Linked DNA regions of Drosophila melanogaster. The protein of the gene in region 4 interacts with the protein of the main gene of each other region in a pairwise test. Each region holds a gene or a part of one and is shown on either strand. Other genes may lie near its edges.

The links.
Region 1: the proteins of CG44251 (region 4) and Ubc2 interact in a two-hybrid assay, tested with the Drosophila melanogaster proteins (one large-scale study listed by BioGRID).
Region 2: the proteins of CG44251 (region 4) and CG43736 interact in a two-hybrid assay, tested with the Drosophila melanogaster proteins (one large-scale study listed by BioGRID).
Region 3: the proteins of CG44251 (region 4) and CG2157 interact in a two-hybrid assay, tested with the Drosophila melanogaster proteins (one large-scale study listed by BioGRID).

Annotation. Positions count from the first base shown.
Region 1 is NT_033779.5:10,764,463-10,769,589, forward strand, and holds Ubc2 (ubiquitin conjugating enzyme 2), read right to left. Parts: upstream 3,478-5,127; 5' UTR 3,195-3,477; intron 2,625-3,194; exon of another isoform or gene 2,551-2,624; 5' UTR 2,530-2,550; coding exon 1,929-2,529; intron 1,814-1,928; coding exon 1,729-1,813; intron 1,669-1,728; coding exon 1,656-1,668; 3' UTR 548-1,655; downstream 1-547. Other genes in the region: CG6495 (uncharacterized protein), read left to right, coding at 1-346; CG6724 (uncharacterized protein), read right to left, coding at 3,825-4,114, 4,182-4,428, 4,486-5,127. UniProt on the Drosophila melanogaster protein: Catalyzes the covalent attachment of ubiquitin to other proteins.
Region 2 is NC_004354.4:6,866,647-6,871,245, reverse strand, and holds the start of CG43736 (uncharacterized protein), read right to left. Parts: upstream 3,020-4,599; 5' UTR 2,466-3,019; intron 1,986-2,465; 5' UTR 1,857-1,985; coding exon 255-1,856; intron 1-254.
Region 3 is NC_004354.4:10,867,580-10,871,255, reverse strand, and holds CG2157 (uncharacterized protein), read right to left. Parts: upstream 1,973-3,676; 5' UTR 1,877-1,972; coding exon 1,865-1,876; intron 1,520-1,864; coding exon 1,147-1,519; intron 1,074-1,146; coding exon 715-1,073; 3' UTR 553-714; downstream 1-552.
Region 4 is NT_033778.4:12,947,845-12,954,004, forward strand, and holds CG44251 (uncharacterized protein), read right to left. Parts: upstream 4,450-6,160; 5' UTR 4,333-4,449; coding exon 4,329-4,332; intron 4,035-4,328; coding exon of another isoform or gene 4,002-4,034; intron 3,506-4,001; coding exon of another isoform or gene 2,649-3,505; exon of another isoform or gene 2,560-2,648; intron 2,366-2,559; exon of another isoform or gene 2,309-2,365; intron 2,243-2,308; coding exon 810-2,242; 3' UTR 504-809; downstream 1-503. Other genes in the region: CG44250 (uncharacterized protein), read right to left, coding at 2,649-3,505, 4,002-4,034, 4,329-4,332; CG13321 (uncharacterized protein), read left to right, coding at 5,813-5,819, 6,114-6,160.

The DNA.
Region 1 (5,127 bases), on a different chromosome or scaffold from region 4:
GGTCAAGACGAAGACGGCCAAGGATCCCATTGAACTTGCCCTGGAGCAAAACAAGTTGCAACCGGAGGGATCCCTTCCAGCCCTGCCGGTTCCCGCTTCCCCCGTCCACGAGCAGTACAAGATGATCCATGACAACCTGGCGATGGAGTTCCGCGATCACGACGGTCACTCGGAGCGACCTGGCGGGGCGGTCCTCTCGCTGACTCTGGGCCTGCTGGTCACCGCTGCGCTGGCCATTCTTATCGGGTGCAGGATGCGGACGGTGACGCGGAGGGCACGACGACTGGGCGGCAAGACGCCCTACTCACAGGAGGCGGACTTCCTGGTCAACGGCATGTATCTGTAAGCCGGTTGCCTGCGGATTAGGTCGGGGGCTAGCCAAGATTCGTTGTGTTGTTCCACGTGCGGGGAAGCGTGAGGATATATATATTTACGATTAATTGTGTAATGAAAAACGTATTTTATATAAACAAAGATATATCAAATAAAACTAAAACTTAAACATAGCGATCGCCTTACCTGTGGACCGATTAATGAGTCGAAAAGTAATTTTATAATATTTTTTATTTAAGTTCCTTTCCATTTGCGATTTCAGTTTTGTTTTGGTTACGAAAAAAACTTACAATTACTTTGTTACGAAATCTTGTTCTCAGTTTTTTTTTCAATGAAGTGACGACGATGACTGGTTTAGTCATTAAAACTACAAAATAGTAGGAAGTTGGTTTTTATTTATATTCTTTTTTTCTTTTCTTTTCCTTTATATATCAGCACTATACTCGTAATTGCCTTTCTTTAAAATAACAAATTTCGCTGTGGTGGAGCCTTTTTAATGTTCAAGTCTAAAATCATTATTAGTGAAAGGTAGTATTTGACCAAAAAAACAAATTTCGAACGCTTAAAAATATCACATTAAAAAATCAAACCGAATCCGATTTCATATATAAATAACACAAATTTATTTAATTTTGTTTTGGAATTTGGAATAGGTTGTCTTAAGTTTTGTATACATAGATTTATTTCGTTTTTCGTTTACCACTTCATTTTTAGTCTTTTGTTGTTGAGAATTTTCCTTGCTGTGGCCAGTTTTTTTTTTTTTTTTTGAATGAAAATCATCTTTTACGAAGTTTACTGCCCTGACATTGGTTGCATTAATATTACGCATTACGCATTAAAATAGGCTTTTCTCTTTACTCGTTTAGCTCCATTTTCACTTAACACTGTACACATATAATGTAAACTAATTGTATTTATATTTATTATGCAGTTGAATAGTTTATAGTTTAATATGTCAATGTGCAATTCATGATGCAGTTTTTCATCGAATGTGACTCGTTACAATGTTTTCGGTTGCTAAGCGAATTAAAAACAAAACTAGTTTCCGAAAAATACAACTCAAGAAATCTCCAAATGTTTTTTTTTTTTTACAACTTCTGTATTAACGTGATATAAATATAGACTGAATTTAGATTGGATTGGATCGACTGGCTGTTGGCGGTTGCTTTTCGTGTTACGGTAGTTGTTACTGTTAATTTAGTAGTTATCGTACTTTAATATATATTTATAAAATAGACTTTCTCCGTTGCAAGATGCGAATTTTCGTTTCTGTTGTTGCAGTTTTCGGTTTGTGGTACATGCACGTTGCCAAAACTTACGCATCATGTTGCGTACCTAAAAGACAAGCACACAGATTACTAAGTTTGTTTACTCGCTTTTCCAGCGACAACTCACCTTTTTGTCCAGAGACGCGCAATTCGATCGTGCTCCTCACGATTCTGCAAATATTGCGTGGCAATGCTGCCCACCAGCGGATCGGCTGTAAAGACACATGATATAAACATGAGATCATATTTACTACAGTCCTAGGAAAAGTTAAATCAAAGTGGAGAACACGACACTGTATATCAAAGTCTAAAAAAAATAAGTCTCACCTGGATTACAGTCTGTGAGCAGGGAGCAAATTGACAGCAAGACCTTTGATATGGTCAGCGCCGGCGACCAGTTGTCCTTGAGTATGTCCAGGCAAATGACGCCCTGGCTGTTGATGTTGCAGTGATAGATGCGCGTGCGGAACGTGACTTTGGGTGGCTTGAAGGGATACTCCGGCGAGAAGTGTATGTCGAGGAAGAAGACGCCGCCCTCGTAGACGGATCCGGGTGGTCCCAGTATGGTGGATACCCACTCGTACAGGTTGTCGCCCTTGGGCCCGGCACTGCAGTTGGGCGGTGGGTCCAGTGTGATCTCAGCCAGCTCCTTCTGTATGCGCTTGGCCGAGGTGCCCAGCGCCCTGGATATCCTGGGCGTTGTTTTGGCTTCCTTTCGCGGCTCATCTCCGCCACCGGCATTGCTCCCGGAGGCACCACCGTTGGCGTTGCTGCCCCTGCCGCCACGTGCCTGCGGAGTTCCGGCAGTCGTCGGCTGGCTGGTATTGCTCACGTTGCTGGCCGTTGTGCTGGGTGCACTGGGCGCATTTGAGGTGGCACTGGAGGTGGCCACCTCGGCGGCACTGCCCGCTGCTGGGGTTGAAGACATTTTTGGTCTCGTTTCTTCGAACTGAAATGAGTATTTTGATGTTTGGTTAGATAATGGTTTATGTAAACGATCCACTATGTTCAGCAGGGAATTTCCATAGAAAACTGGTGAAATATGAAGCCAAAGCCTACTTGGGATTCACATTTATTTTTAAAGGGAAATCCCTTCTTGCCTGCACTTTGTGCGTACGAATGTAGTTGATGTGAAAAGTATGGCCAGTGGAGTCGGCAATTATACGCGAATCTTGGACGGGGCTTCCCCAGGGTCCTTGACCTGGTTTTCCACCCAGTTTGTGCCCCTTTATGATGACAGGGGTTTGCTTTTTTTCGCACAAACGCACGCATTTCTATTGAGCAGCGGCCATTTTGGCAAACCCCCGACAGTAAAAAGTGGGTTTTGCATGGGATTCGTTGTCAGGCCAGTGGATGCTGGACAGGATTAGGTGATAGCTGGACAAGCATTTGCCCCCAAAGTTTCGAGAGCATGTGCTGGATGCCGCAAAAAATCAATCAGCAGACATTTGCAAAATGCCGCCGCCGACGGCGGAGGATGATGATGACGGTGCTGACTCCGCCGCCTGCAGCTCGATTGCACAATTTCGCGGAATTTGGACGCTGATTAGGTGGGGTCTATCTTGGGACCAGCCCGTGAAGCACTATACACACCTCACTATTGCAGTTTCTTTCACTTTTTTCTATCACAACACTTGCGAAAATGATTCTCCCTGTGTCGCCTGCTGCCCTCTCGCTCGCACTCTCGCGCACACGGCCTTCGCAGTGGATGCACGGCTGTTCCGCTGGCGTCCTTGGTGGGTGGCAGTGTCGGCGCTCCAAACTCCTCGGCGGCTCACGGTCGCGATCGTTGTTATTTCGCTAAATTACAGTTGGCAAATTACGAGGCGACGCAGAGCCGACTTTATCTTTGTTAGAAACTCGATAATTTGTATGTTTGTAGCCAGCTATCGGTCCGGGTCCGTCTCTAGGTGCTCGCGCTGTCCGCTCATCCTTAGCGAACTATCGATGTTCGGCTTCTGGCAACCGTTTTTTGCCTTTTCTAGCACTGTGGCAACTCGGAAGCGGATACCATAAAAATAATATTCAAGTATTGAAATCTAACTATTTCGTAAATGAAATAAAAAACAAGAATATTTACACCATGTATAATACACTTTGAATACCTCTCTGCTTCACCCACTTCGATAATTTAAGTGTAACACCCCAGATGTAAAATCTTTCAATATTTACTTTAAAGTTTAAACTAGTTTTGTATTTATAAAAAGTTTACAAGTTTTGGGATTACTTCGTCTCCGCTTCTTCCGCTAGCGCCTTGCGAGATTTGAATACGCGCACCGTGTTGTCGACACCACCAGATACAATGTACTTGGGATTGGACCAGTCGATGTCCAGGACCTTTTCACCGTGACCCAGAAGATCGTACAGTGGGGCCTTGGGACTCCTGCAGTCCCACAGCTTGTTCTGGTTGTCATAAGCGCCGGAGACAAATAGGAACTCCTCCGTGGTGGACCACATGACGGTCTGCACCCAGGCATTGTGTCCCAGATAGGTATTCCTTACCACTGATCCCTCTGAAAGATCCGAATTATATTGGTTAGGTGGAAGTTCCATTGTTGATATTGGAGTATTAGATCTTACGGTTTGTCCTAGGATCATAGAGCCGCAGATTCTTGTCCGCCGAAGCAGTCAGTATCAGCCGATTCAGCTTTGAGTAGCTCGCATCGAATATGGACTTGTTGGTGGATATTTCGGTCTTGATGCCCTCAAGACTCAGATCCCACACCTTGAGTGTGTGATCCCAGCTGCCAGTTAGCAGAGTGGTAGCATCCATCCACTGCACGGCTGATACGCTCTCACGATGTCCCTGCAGCGTAATTTTGGGGGTCTGAAAGGAATTGTAAAGCTGATTACAAGTCTAATTATAAATGGCAAGACTACTCACTCTCACACCGCTCTCTTTCATCCGCTTTGAGCTGCCCTCGACTGCATCGTCCAGCTCTGCTGACCACACCTTCAACATCGTGTCCCAAGAGCCCGTGGCAAATCTCAGACCATCCGGACTCACGCTGACACTGTCGACGCCTCGCTCGTGGCCCTTGCACACGGAGACACATTCCACCGAGTTGGAGCCCACGTTCCACTGCCACAGCATGGCGGTCTGATCCTGCGATGTGGACACAAAACGTCCCGTCTCCTCGTCCAGCGATATCCAGTCCACCGCCTTGATGGGCGCCGTGTGACCAGAAATAGTGAGAATGTGCTTGCCTTTGTTGGTCCACAAATTCAGGGTGTTGTCGTAGCACCCGGAGAGGATCCACTTTCCTCTAGCCTTCACCGCGGACACCCAGTCGTCGTGCAGCAGGCAATCCTGTGGCTCTGGCGCCGGGAACCGCTCCACATACTCGATCTCGATGGCGTCCTCGAAACTGATGGCTTTCTCGCGCAGGTGATCGCACAGCCGGCCACGCAGGTACTCATCGAACACCAGGAAGTCGAAGTCCGTGTCGGAAGAGCCATCTTTTTGACGCAACAGTGCGTTCACGAATGTGTTTAGCTCCACGGTGGTGACGGTGCCATCGATGGC
Region 2 (4,599 bases), on a different chromosome or scaffold from region 4:
CTCTAAAGTAGGCTCGAATTTCTAGATAAGGCTTGAAAAACGATAATTCGGTTGAGTGTAAAGAATCTTGTATCTATAATATTGTTCAGTAGCTGGGGTATAATAAATGATACCATAGCAACGTTGATATTATATTCCAGATTACGATTGGGCATTACTTCTCAAACTTTGCTAATAGCTTTGATATCCCAAAGTTTGATAAACATTGTGCATTAATTGGAGGAAAACGTTAGCTAGCCTAGTGCTCAACTCACCATCATCTGGGCGTGGAGCTGCAGGTTTGTCTGTCCGGACATCCATCCGCTGCTGGCCAAAGCCTGGACGGTGGCCTGCGATAACATCCTGTTGTTGCCCTGCGACTGCTGGAGCATCGACGCCGCTGCCGCCGCCTGGGAATTGAAGGCCGCTACCGCGGCTGCCCCAAAACTATTTGCCGCATTCGCCACACCATTGGCGCCGGCGGCAGCTGCTGCTGCGGCGGCGCGTTGCTTCATCAGATGCTGTTGATGCGCCGTCGCCGCTGCTGCGGCGGCAGAGGCAGCGTGCTGTTGCTGAGATTTTGAGGTCACCTGTTGGCCACCAGCGGTGTTCGCGGAGGATGATGCGGCTGATGTGTTCTGGCCCATGTTGCCGCCGCTGGAGGAGGAAGGGCCGGACGATCCGGAAACGGAGGTGGTCACTTTTGGAGGCGGCGCCGAGGGTTGACGGGTCCAATTGACCGAGTTGTTGACATTGGCCCGATTGCCAATGAGCAGATTGGAGTCAACCACCTTGCTGGGCCAGTAGTCCTCGAATTCGGTGCCATTTGGGAAGTAGCTTTTGATGTCCGTCAGCGAAATCACGGCCACGTTCTCGCTGGAGAAGAGCTCATTGCGTATGCCCTGCACCTTGCAGCAGAACTTTAGATAAGCCAGGTCCCAGCCATTGAGCAGCTCCGCTTTGGTCTTTAGATTCTCGGTCTCGCCCTCAAAATAAAAGAGCGGCACAACCTGCTGATTGTTGCGCACAGTGTAGGGCACCACGGACTCCTTGTTGATGCGAATAAAGCCGCACTTCTCCGACGGCGTCTTGCTGCCGGAGACTAGTTTCCTATAGCAAATATCCAGGAACTGATAGAACTTGGATGCGTCACTGAGACGCACCACCAAATCCTTTTGGTTGAAGATGTCGCGACCGAACTCGCCGTCACAATGCTTATGATTAATCTCGATGAAGAGACGGGCCTCCGCATCGGTGATGTAGTAGCTGCGCACGCAGGTGCAGCTGGAGTAGATATCCGGATGCAGGCAGTTAAGGTATTTGCCCAGCAGTTTCAGTTCGATCATGCGCACGGAGCAGTACTTCTCCGATTGGCGATAGATGTACGGTATGGATACCTTGCCGAACTGAGCCCAGCCGAAGTGGCCTTGAATGGACTCCTCGTCGCAGGGTCCCGTGGAGGACTTCTTGTCCGAGCCGGAGTCGCTGACGGCTCCATTCGAGCGGCCATTGGAGGCCAAGGCGGGCACCACCTGCATGGTGCCGTTGGGTAGTTTCTGATGACGAGATAGGTAGTTCATGATATTGGTCTGGCCATTGCCATTTGTGATCGGCGGCTGCATGTTGCCACCGGCCGAGGATGCCGCAATGGCGCCCCCATTCGAGTGCTGCATGGCCGCTTGACGGGATGCCTGCTGGGCGGCCTGTTGCTTCTGCTGCTCCTTCATTTTGGCAGCTAGTTCGCGGATCTCGGCGTCATCGGGACGCTCCTGCTTGACGGGCGGTCCCAGGGGACCGCCCAAACTGTTGCCGTGGAGCGGTAGGCTCTGGCCATTGGCATCGATGACGCTAGTGATCTGCACATCCTCGCTGGCCATCGCTCCTCCGCACACTCTCGCTCTTTTGCTCTAGAATGCTGTCTTGCTCGCGCTCTATGTAATCTTGCGTTATCGTACTTTTCCAGACTTTTCGATATCCACACTTTTGGTTTGGTTTTATATTAGGAGCTGTATTGAAAAATTTACTTGTTAGGATGACAGTTCGATTGGTACTGCCAGCATTTCAATTTGATATGTTATTTGTGTATGTATTTATATATATGCTCATATATGTCAATATATATTTAACAAAGACTGCATTATGTCTTACTGATTTTTTTAATTATTCACACATCAAAATGAAATTCTTTTGGCAAGTGTATTTGTTATTTAAACAGAACTATAAAAGAAATAAACAGCCGGCTTGTTCGATCCTTCTCTTTCTGGCACACAAACGGTCACACTGACCGGCTGTCTCACACACACACACACACACACACACACGTGATAATTTTTTTAGATGTTTTCCTTTGCAAGTGTGCGTGTGTTAATGCGCGCACTTATTTTTGTTGTTTTTCGAGCTCATTTCAACATTTTGCACACAATGCTATTGCTGTTGTTGTTTTTGGCATATAAATTATACATTATGTATGCATGTGGTACACTTACACAAACAAACGCTAACTGCATTTTGGCAGTGTGGCAAAAAAAAAAACAAAACTATTTAATGCATTTGTTGTTATATTTAGTTGCTGCTTTCTCTCTCCTCGTTTGCTTTTGGTTTATTAAATTCCTTTTTGTTGTTTTTGCGACGACGCTCGTGGTGAAAAAAAAAAACAATTTGTTTGGTTCTCTTTTCTTTTGATATTCGCACTTTTTCGCTAGTTTGCTTTAGCGCTTGTTCCGCATTCGACGCCGACGCACGTCCGCCCGTCTTCGCAATACACAAACGAGTGTGATCGTTGTTACGAAAATTATTTCAACGAAGTCAACTGAAAAATGTGTACGGCACACACACAAACCTACAGCCGTGCGCTCACCCACACTGGCGCAGCGCGCCGGCAGCGACGCCTACTGCGGCAGCGGATGCAGAGCGCAAAAGAAAAACGGAAAACACGAAAGAGAAAAAAACAAACACCCGTAGCGCAGTCGGCGTCGCTGCAACGCTGCCACGAACATTTTGCCGAATTGTTGTTGCTGCTGTCCGTCTCCCTTTTGCGCCCCCACCCCCCTTCTTATGCATTTTCCTACTCTGCCATCGCTCTCTCTCACCCTATTCGGCTAGCCCCCTCCTCGACGAACGCCTGCTCTCTCTCTCTCCTTCCGCTCATCGACTAGCTCTAAGCTGCGACGCCGACGTCAACGTAGCTGCAGAGTTACAACCCACAGTGGTTAAGACATAAGCAACTTATGGAAATTAATTAAGGGATCTTAGCCAATTCAGTATGAAAGTAAAATTTTATAAAATAATACGAATTTATGGGATTACAAGTTTACCATTTGTTGAATATTTAACCTCACAATTAAGTTCTTTAAATACTCTACACATATGTATCTCGAATTTGAACTTTTTATTGTTAAACTTTCTCTCAAATTCGCATTATTTTTTAGTAACACCATCTGGGAATCAAGCAGATCAAAAAAGGCAAGCTTCTTTGTGGCTTACTCATATAAATGGTGTAAAAAATAATGCAAACTAGCTAAATTTACTTTAAAATTAGTGTTTCCTTGTTACATGTTTACTCTTTACATACAGTTGTACAAATTTATTTGTATATATTATTTCTCTATAAGAATATAATAATGCCATTTTCCCCTGGCATTTGAACCACGGTACAAGGAAAGCTTAAGCTATGCTATATACAAGACCCACACACACTGACACATGTTCACAGAGAGCTGGCTGGGTCACAGTATTGGTATTGGTTTTGGTATTGGTGGTGTGATGATGATGTTGTTGCTTTTGTGCGGGAGTGGGTGGGTGGGTGCTCTTTGTGGGCGAAGGCGTGGCGGGGCGGCTCTATTTTTGGCAAGCACCAAAAGCAAAAGCAAAGGCCCCTGCTTAGCATTCGATGGCCACCTCTCCTCGCTCTAGCCCTCTCCCTTTCCCACATGCCATCACTCTCCCCGTCCCTTTCGCACCGTCGAATGCAAGAAGTTTTCGGTATTCGCGCGCTCTGCGGCTTTCAAGACAGGCCCCGTTCCAGAAGGCAGAGAAAACCGGGAACGACCGAGCACGAACACGAACAAACGAATACACGAGTTCACGAACGGGCGCAGCTCCAAAAGGTCGCCCCGACTCTAAACATTTACCAAAAAAAAAAATTTAATTAGCCAGGTCCAAGAGTCCAAGTCAAATTCCATTGTGCCGCCATCATACGGGGCTAAAAAGTTAACTGCCAGTTAATAACGAGTCCCGCGAAGTACAGTCAGATCAAAACAGGTGTTATTTGGTCCCGAAAACTAAACGTACAGTTGCGCCAAAACACATTGTGATATGTATTTTACTTAATGCAATGTCCACTTCAATTTATTTAGAACCAACTGTAGCCTATTAAAGGTTCTACTTGTTTTCATTCAATCATATGCTTATGTGTGTAATAGGATTACACAATATAAACCGAAACGCAATTTATATATGAATGTACGTAAGTACACCAATCAGTTTTTAGGGTATTCAAAAGCCGAGTGTCAATGGAAGGCACTGCAGTTTATTGGTATCTCTCGGCTTTGGTTTCAGGTGTCTCCCGGGCTTTTTAGTTTGTACGGTACGAGACTCTCCAGTGCGTGGCTTTCTTTAATT
Region 3 (3,676 bases), on a different chromosome or scaffold from region 4:
TCCGTGGATCATCACCTACGGTCATCGACCGATGTACTGCAGCGACGACAAGGAGTACGATTGCAATAGCCAACTGGAGACGTACATTCGCCAGGGTCTGCCCATGCTCAAGTGGTTCGGCCTGGAGGATCTGTTCTACAAGCACGGCGTCGACGTGGAGATCTTTGCGCATGAACACTTCTACACTCGCCTGTGGCCAATCTACGACTACAAGGTGTACAATGGCAGTGCCGAGGCGCCATACACTAATCCCAAGGCGCCCATCCAGATCATCACGGGTTCCGCCGGCTGCAAGGAGGAGCGCGAGCCCTTCTCCAACGATTTGCCCATCTGGAATGCCTACCATAGCAATGTAATTGAATGACCTGCTTAATATCAAAACGGAATACTATAATTCTATAATCTCTTTAGGATTACGGATACACCCGCTTGAAGGCACATAATGGCACGCATCTTCACTTCGAGCAGGTGTCCGATGACCAGAACGGCGCCATTGTCGACTCCTTCTGGGTGATCAAGGACAAGCATGGCGCATATCCATCGCCCCAATGAGATTACATGCATATATAAATATATACTTTCTAGTTAAATGACGATTATGATAATGTATTTTTTTGTAGCATCTTTTAATAAAAATAAAGTTAGAAAAAAATATATCGATGAAAAAAAATAAATTCCACTAGCTTAGATCTTGAACGTTGGACCGTGCGGTGTCTAGTAGACGGTTCCCGAGATTCCGGAACCGTAGTTATAGCCCGATCCGATGGGCGGCACTCCGCCCAAAGCGCCCAAGCCGCCGCCCACCACGCTGTTGCCATAGTTGCTCGTATAGTAACTGGATGGATAGCCACCAGCGCCGAATCGGGTGTTGTAGTACGGATACCCAGTGCCGGCTCCAGCGCCCAGCCTGCTGTTGTAGTATGACAGGGCGTATGGATTCGAGTTGTAGGAGCCACCATAACCACTAAGTCCCGATCCATAGCCACCAAGAGCGGATCCATAGCCACCCAAAGCGGATCCATAGCCGCCCAGAGTGGATCCATAGCCTCCGTATCCGGCCACTGCAGCACCATCTGGGGATTGAGAAACAGCGTTGGTATACTACGAGTCTTCGGCAAGAGATTGAGAGTCTTCTTTCAAGCTCACCCTCACCTAATCCACCCAGAGCTCGCGAGCTGTACGGATTGTAGTAGCTGTCCACGCCAACGCCGACGCCACTGCCGTACGCTCCTCCATAGCCGGCTCCCAGGCCAGAGGCATAGCCGCCGTATCCTGCGCCATATCCGGCGCCATAGCCGCCGTATCCCGCGCCGTAGCCCGCTCCGTAGCCACCGTATCCACCAACATAGCGCTTCTCCTGCTTCTTATCCTGCAGCGGGGCATAGCTGCTGGCGGCGCTCACCTGATCCTCCACGGCCACCGCATCCGGTGCCGATGCGGATGCCACCTGCTCCAGGTCAGAATCCGCCGCGTCCTGGGCATAGGCACTCAGCACCAGACTGGTTGCTATCAGGATAAACTGCGCGAGGATAAAGCGTCACCAAAATGTATCATATTCAAAAGATTACCACTTAAAACATATTTCAATAAAGTGAAAAGTACTTTTTAACAATAGTATTTTGTTTAACAAATTCTCAAAAGCAACATAAAACATATTCAAAAATGTAATAAAAAAAATGTAAAAAATATGTATCAACTTTAAACTAAAATTTAAATACACTTTATAATTTAACAATGAACATCAAGCATTTGGAATACAATGCTTTCAAAACTTATTATTCACTTTAACGAACTGTGTTTTTTAAATCATTTTCTAGTTTTTGGGAAATTATAATCCACGAGAGATCCTTTGGCGAGTCCTTACAAAGCACTTCATGTTGTGGCTGCCGGTTTGTGGTGTTCACTGCTTTCTGGTGGCTAACTGCTCCTTCAAGACTATGATGCGCACGCGCCGTTCGACACTTGTCTAATGATTCCCCACCGGGCCGGCAGTCGCTTTTATACCCGCCGAGCCCACTTCCAATCCCAGCGAACTCGAGCCGCGAAGTTGGACGCAACTGTTGCATCCCAGAGATTCGTGTCGCCTTGCTTGCCACCTATGTATGTATGACGCATGCCACTGGACAACGTGTATGCTGATGGGTCTTGGCTTAATCATCAAACATATTAGATTGAATTTATATCCTGGATTAGATAGTTTCCAGAATCAGATGAGCTCTACTTAACCCATTTATGGAACAACTCTGGATCAACTTAGATTGCTAATATTGTATATTAAATACATATTTATAATCTTAACTCTTTTCTTGAAGAAAACAATACCTTTCGAATGATCTACTTATGAAAAGCTGGTTGGGCGTGTTGATGTGTGATCACACATCATTATGAATATTCCCACGATCTGGGGGATCAATTATACCGCCGCCGCTCAGGAGAAGCAATAACAATGATGACAAATGCTAATTGAATCATTAACTTGACCCTGAAACAGCTAATTGGTCAACATAAAACGCGAAAATGCCCAACGATTGCAGCTTTGAAAACAAAGTTTAAAAAAAAAACGTAACAGCAATCATGCGAGTCCAGTTGAAACGATTTAGTTAGATAGATAAATATTGCGGCTAGTACGTGACTCATTTCATGAACAACAGTATCGAATTGGGTTTTCACTTTCCAGCGCTTATTTAAGCCAACTGAAATTGTTAACAAAACATCGCAGAGAAGAAGAGCCAGGCGGATCTGAATGCTTGAATTTCGCCAACAAAGGTGGCAATTGTTAATTTCTTAGAGGCTTTTTGGCCAAGTGCCTAAGCTAAGTATCCCCATTCCAACCAACATTGCTGACACATTTTCTAAAAAACCTAACGGATTGGAGTCGTAACTTCGATTGGGTTGAATGGACTGAATTAGGTTCTACCAATCTGGGCGATAGTTTTAGCATAAATTCAGGGGTATTCCACATTTAAGTACATTTAATCTATAGAGTTTAGTACAAGAAACTAAAAAGTACTCAGATGTTTCAAATAACTTTAATAATAACTTTAGCAAGTGTTTGAATAATAAAGTAGCATTTAAGAACATAACGATCTATATCCGTTTGCCATTTTCCAAAACTGCAAAACTGTAGCTTGTATCTGTGCAGTTGAAGTTACGTGTGCCAATAGCATTGCGATACTTATCCACGGATATTTACGAAATATGTCAAAATAGTTGTCGATGCCATGCTTGTGGATAGCCACATAGTATATACATACGCTTGTCATACCGCCCATATGAGTGGGTTCACATTGTTCGACCCGGCGGGCATGTGAAAAGTGTTAACTGATTCGACTGACTGTATGGATGGATAGATGGTTGGAGGGATGGATGGATAGATGGAGGGATGGATGGAGGGAGGCAACCGAAGCTACTGCCGACTGCTATGAGTTGACTTGGCCATGGGTGCACTTTGGCGATGGCCTGGGAGTTTCTCGTTTTTTTTTTTCTTTTCTTGTGCTCTTACCCCACTGAGACAATGGTTCTTTAATGCCGAGGCCTAAAAGCCCATTACACGGGCAGCCCGTGAATCTCGCGGTAAGTGGTAGCCTCCATTTCTTGGCCAACCCGCGCACACGGGGCGTATGAGTAATCAAGGAAAAGCAAGCACGGTGCAAAAATCAGATTTAGAACTTTGTCA
Region 4 (6,160 bases):
TCGCTCATATTTACTCTTACCTGTTTCGCCTTTCTCTTTCTTCTCTTTCATCTTGTGCGCCGAGTTGACGTCGAAAAACCAGAATCGTTTAAGAAATCTTGTGTTGGCCAATAACGGATAGTTGTGGGAAATGCCAGATTTGTCTAATCGTTAAAACCCGTGTGGGTTCAAGGAGGTTTTCAAGCATATGGGGTTCTTTGCTAAGCTGGGAATACAGCGTTTTTAATTCCGCACATTAAGCCAAGTTTACTATTCTACGTGATACAATATTATTTTGACCTTAAACTCTCGTGCCCGCAAATCGTTTACTTACCATCTTCTAATTGTAATTTCTATGTTAAGGCGGAAGAACTTTGTTCTTTACGATTTTGTTCAAGCGTTTATGGAAATGTTAAAGAGTCTTTGTTTGTCATAGTATAATTACTAACTTATTTTACACGTGGTAGAACCGACGTAATAAGAAACCCAAACCATAACAAATGATTAAATCCAAAGGCGTCATTAAATAAATAAAACATTTATTACACAACGAACTTTAAAAGTGTGTCAATATAATTAGTGCATAAGTATCTTAACTAGTAAATAAACATGTCGGTTAAATATAATGTGTGTAGAGGTAGTTTCACATTTTGCATTTGGCTTAGATGCATTTAATATTGAGTGCGTATATAAATATAGGTAATTAATAATTAAAATGTAGTTTTTCACAATATACAAAGATATGCCTGGAATAATTTATAGGAACAAAAAATTTGTTTATGGGTTTTCATGGCCTAGCTGCTCTCGGATTTTCCAGATTAAATATGTCTTCAGTAAACCAGGCGGATGGCCTGCTGTCCGTGGTAAATATCGCTCCTAACAAGAACTTCATAGTTGCTCAGACGGATCTCTTGGCCACCGAATGGGATCTGGAGGCATCGGTTGTAGGTCTCAATTACACCGGGTGTCAAGCTGCCGCAGTAGTGACCCCGTCCAATGTAGAGTGGTGCTCCGCCAGGTGTCGTTCCGGCCACAACTGCTCCAGGTGGAACGTTTCCGCCGTAGGATGGCACCCAGTGGTATTTGCCCTTGCCCACCAGCATTTGGTACGATGGCTCAATGATTTCACGACCCCCGTGGGCTATGTAGCCACATCCCTGGCTGGGAATGGCCTTGCCAGGAACATGGACACCACGGTAGTAGGCCCGGCAAACCAGCAATTGCTCCATGTTGCTGTCATGACCTCCAATCACGGCATCGGGAGAGTAATAATAGCCCGGTTCGGCTGATACCCAAACGTCATAGTTGTTGCCATAGCCGTAGGCGTCATATGCCGAAGGAGCAGCACACTCGGCCGGAGTGTAGGACGAGCATCCCGCCTCGTAGGGATTATAGGTGGAAGCGGGTGTAAACGATGGTGCCACGGGAACGGATACTGCGGTCACCTCTGCGGGAACAAATGATGGCGGTGGCGCCACCTCAGCTGGAGTGAACGATGGAGGAGGAGGTGGCATGACCAACACACCACCTGCAGGCGGTGGTGGTGGTGGTGGTCGTGGCATGACCAGCACTCCTCCCGCCGGCGGTGGTGGGGTTGGACTCGGCATCACCATCACACCTCCAACGGGTGGCATGGGATCCGGAGTGGGTGTGTAGGCCGGAGGCCTGTCAGGAAATGGCATCGCAGCCAAATCCGGATATGGATATGGTTTGGCCGGCAGTGGCGGCGCCATTGCCGGTGGAGAAGGTGGTGGCGGCGGCGATAGTGGACACTTTTCCGGCTCCTCTAGTGGAGGAGGTGGTGGCGGCAGCTGCCAGCCAGGAACCACTCTGCGCTCCTCCACCAAAATCTCATAGGAATCCAGACGACGTTCGGCACCGCGAAAAGCGATGAACAAAGCTCGATGGACAGAGGAGATTTTGCCGATAATCAGATGACCCTCATAATGACCACGACCAATGTAAACCGGCTGATCCAGCGATGTGCGTCCACAGAGTACAGCATTCTCCGGAATCACATGATCGTAGCACTTGATCCACACCAGATTCTGACCGCACAGCACCTCGAAGATGTCCTTGGGCAGTGCCTCTCCTCGCTGCGAAATGAATCCCAGTTGCTTGCTCGGCACCACCTTGCAGACCAACATATCGCCCTCGTGCTCCGCCCTGCCCACGTATATCATGGCGCCGTCCTCATCGTTGCCGCCCACCACTGCCTCCTCGGGAAGGGAGGAGTAGGCCGAGGATTGAACCCACTTGTAGGCTGAAAGAAAGATGCATTTTGTTATTTGCTTATTCAGAAGTGATTAGTTTATCATAAAGGACTAACCAATAATATGCTATTTCATCTATAGACATGCAAAAAAATGATGTAGTAATTTTAAATTTCTTTAAAAGTAAATAATGTGGAAGAAAGGTAGAATATAAGGAAATGACCTTCATAGCAAGCCACTATCGTAGCTCATAAATTTTGTAAAACCTGTCTAATCCGACAGTCCATTTTGGCCATATCAGTATAATACATTTGCAGGGATAAGTATTTTAAAAATAGAAGGAACACAAAATGCCCACAGATTTCTTCCGGTATTAACAATCAGTTTATTTGGCTGCGATAACAGTTTGATCTAGACTAAATGCATATGGTATCTGTAGTGTTCCGTTCCTTTAGCTTATTGTCTGCAGAGAATCTCGTACGAGTTGATGCGAATCTCCCGACCTCCGTACGGAATATAGAGGCAACGCTGGCTGGCCGAGATCAGACCCGGTGTCAAACTGCCCTGGTAGTGTCCTCGCCCATAGTACAGCAGCTCTCCATTGCGAGCACGACCCGTGGTTACGGCGTTTGGTGGAATGCTGTGGCCGCAATTCATCCATACATATCCGTAGCCAGTGAGCACCTCGTAGCTGGGCTTCTGGAATTCGTATCCGCCGAAGCAAACGTAGGCGGTTCCCTTGCTCGGCACCACCTTGGCAGGCAGCATTTCACCCTCGTGCATTGCCCTTCCGGCGTAAATGGGAGTACGGTCGGAGTCGTGTCCGGCGATCACTGCGCCCGGAGGAGTGTAACTGGGCGAGGCCGGTACCCAGACGTCGTGCTGCTGCTTGATGAGCACCTCGTAGGTGTTGATGCGCACCTCCTGGCCGCCAAATGGAATGTATAGGCAGCCGTGCGATGGATGAACTTTGCCCACAGTCAAGCTTCCGGCATGATGTCCGCGTCCCACATAGAGCGGCTCGCCCGTTCGCGTCGTTCCGCTCCTCACCGCATTCGGTGGCACTCCACCGCTGGAACTGGGCACCCAGGCAAATCCCTGACCCACCAGCACCTCGTAGTGCGTCTTCGTGTGCTCCGCACCACCGTAGGCCACATAGGCGCATCCCTTGCTCGGTACGACCTTGGCGGGAAGATTCTCGCCTTCGTGAAAGGATCGACCCACATAGATGGGCGTGCGGTCCGAGTCATGGCCACCGATAACCGCGTATGGGGGCAGGGGGCTGTATGGAGACGAGTGCACCCAGGTGTTGTCTGCAAGGAGAAAGGCAGTAGGGCGATAAGTTTGATACCACGCGATAAGATAACCTATCTGTACACAGAGCGAAAACCGGAGAGTAAGTTTCGTGTCCTTTCCATTGGAAATATCTTAAAACTCTACTTGATTGATTTAAATCACTGTTATATTAATATTGTCTTGATAGATATTATATATTGTTATTAAAAAAAAAAAGATTAAGATTTACTAACTTCGTACTTTTTCAAAAGGTAAACATTTATCATCCCGAAGCTGCATTATTAAATGGATACGGTTTTGATTAAAAATTAAGTACAATGTACAATATAATGATTCACTCTATACTCATACTCTCATAGCTTTTTCTCCGTGTACATATTTGGCTTGCTGTACGGTTTTGCGGGTTTGGGTGGTTTTGGGTGGCCTAGGTGGTCTGGGGGCGGGGATCAAATGGGATTTGGGGTTTCACAGAGGCGTAGGGGTTTCACCCTGGGCTCACTGCACTCGTCCTACCAACGGTCACAACTCCTCCTGGCTGCACGGCGCCTGGAAAGAGCAAAGAAAGGCGGAGAACTGTAGAAGTCACTCAATGCTCTTTGCTTTTCTTCCGGCTAATGTGCACAGAGAAAAAAATCGCAATACCAACAGAATTGGTCAGCACTTGCGGATTTCTTCGCCCGTAATTGGGAAATTGAATTTAATTAAGCTAATATGCAACAATATATTTTTTGATTTTGATGATCTTGAAGGTAAATTACACTTATTTCATTAGACTTTGGCATTGCAAAATCATTTTTTTTTTTTTGGTTGCACTTATCAGAGGTTACTCATTCTACTTACCCATTGTGCGTTAATTGTTGATAAGTTATTCCTATGAAAAATAGTTTCTTTTATTCACTTGCGTTCTTCTGACTCCAAAATGCGTCTGAACTGACCAAAGTTTGTCTTTTCACTAAACTATTGGTTTGCAAAAGCCTGACGTTTAAAAACCGAACCAGAGCGATTCGTCACTGCTTCTTATCGGCGAGCTTTTATCTTTCAATTCGCATTTGTACATATATAAAAAAAGAAGTGCAGTTGATATTGGGACCTTTGCTATCACTAATTTTAACTTCCAGTCTCGAAAGCTCCATTTCCAGAAAAGCATTCCATTTATCGATCGAAAATGAATCATTGGCCCAAACAGGCGGTACTTTTGGGAGTAAAAGAAAAAAACAAGTAAATCGAAGCATGTGGACATTGTTTTAAATGTTATTGTTGTGCCCTCTCAACAGGTGGAACCCCAATTAAATAGACCCATAAACAATATGACGCCTGCCAGAAGCGCCCATGCTCAAAAAATCCCCCCCGTTGAAGGGGCGATAAGCATGTCGAAAATTTGTACTTTTAATAGAAAAAGGATCATTCATTTTGAATTATTTTTTACCTACTGAAATATTAAAAATAATCTTTAAACCTTTAGTGTAATGTATGTGCTTATTTTATCTCTTTTAATTAATAATTTCTTTGTAATAACAAACAAACTGATTTCAAAGGACATATGTATGTATGCATTTATGTAAGGCATAAAAGGCATTAAAAAGTATAAATATACATATGTGACTCAGCGGTAACGATATCAATAACTTTATATCGCAATTGACTCATCTTTAGACCAAACAAGTGTCTGTAACTTTACAACAGTTACAGTTAGTTTTCCAAAGGTTTCTCAATTATTAGGTTTATGATTTGAATAATCCACAAGAAGGTTAGGTAACTGTTTACATGTTGGTTCTTATTTTTGTTCTAGAAAAGCATTCCTGAACTTATAGTTGATCCATGGACAGCCACCCTCATACATATAATCTTTTACGAACTTATTGATGAAGTTTATTTTTGACTACCGGCGATAAGATTCGTAGCCAACTGCTTATAGATAAAACCCGCAAAAACAAAAACAAATATTCATGCACAAGATCGATTGAGTAATTTTGGTTGCGCTTCCTGTTTAACCCAGAATTTAAATTGTTTTTACCAAACAAAATCATCCAATATACATTCTGACACACCTGTCAGTTGGTCGCAATGACGAACACCCTCTACGACATGAGGATACCTTTGTGGAACACACACAATCGAACGGTTCAGAGCAGTGTGACTAAGATATCTTATCACTGCCGGCTAACTTGCCGAACTGATAAGCGGAAACAACAGCTTTTAAGGCGCAACCGATGTGCGGGTAGCGACCAGTCGTTGAAGTCAGCCCAAACATAGCGGAGCCAGCGAGTATATAACATCACGTTCCAGACCTAAATCAACATACAAAAAAAGCACACAAATACAACATGGGAGGTGAGAACTGAAGTGCAAAGTTAGTGACTAAGATAATTCTGGCGAAAACGAAAGCATAGTGCCGCAATTAGTCGTGACAAGTGGGCAAGTGTCATCGATACTCCGCGCACCTGACAGCCGAAATCCCTTGGAGCTTTGGTAGCTTTCCATAGATCCAGCGATTCTACACCCTGACAAATAAAAGACAAAAAACCTCTACTGTGGCTGATTAATGGTGTACAGTTGGCCCTCGTTGGCCCAAGTTAACTTATCGCCTCTGACCTTGCTCTATATATATATTTTATTCGCCCTCAGACTACACCTGGATTAGCACCAACGTTTACGGATCCCTGCCCCCAGGA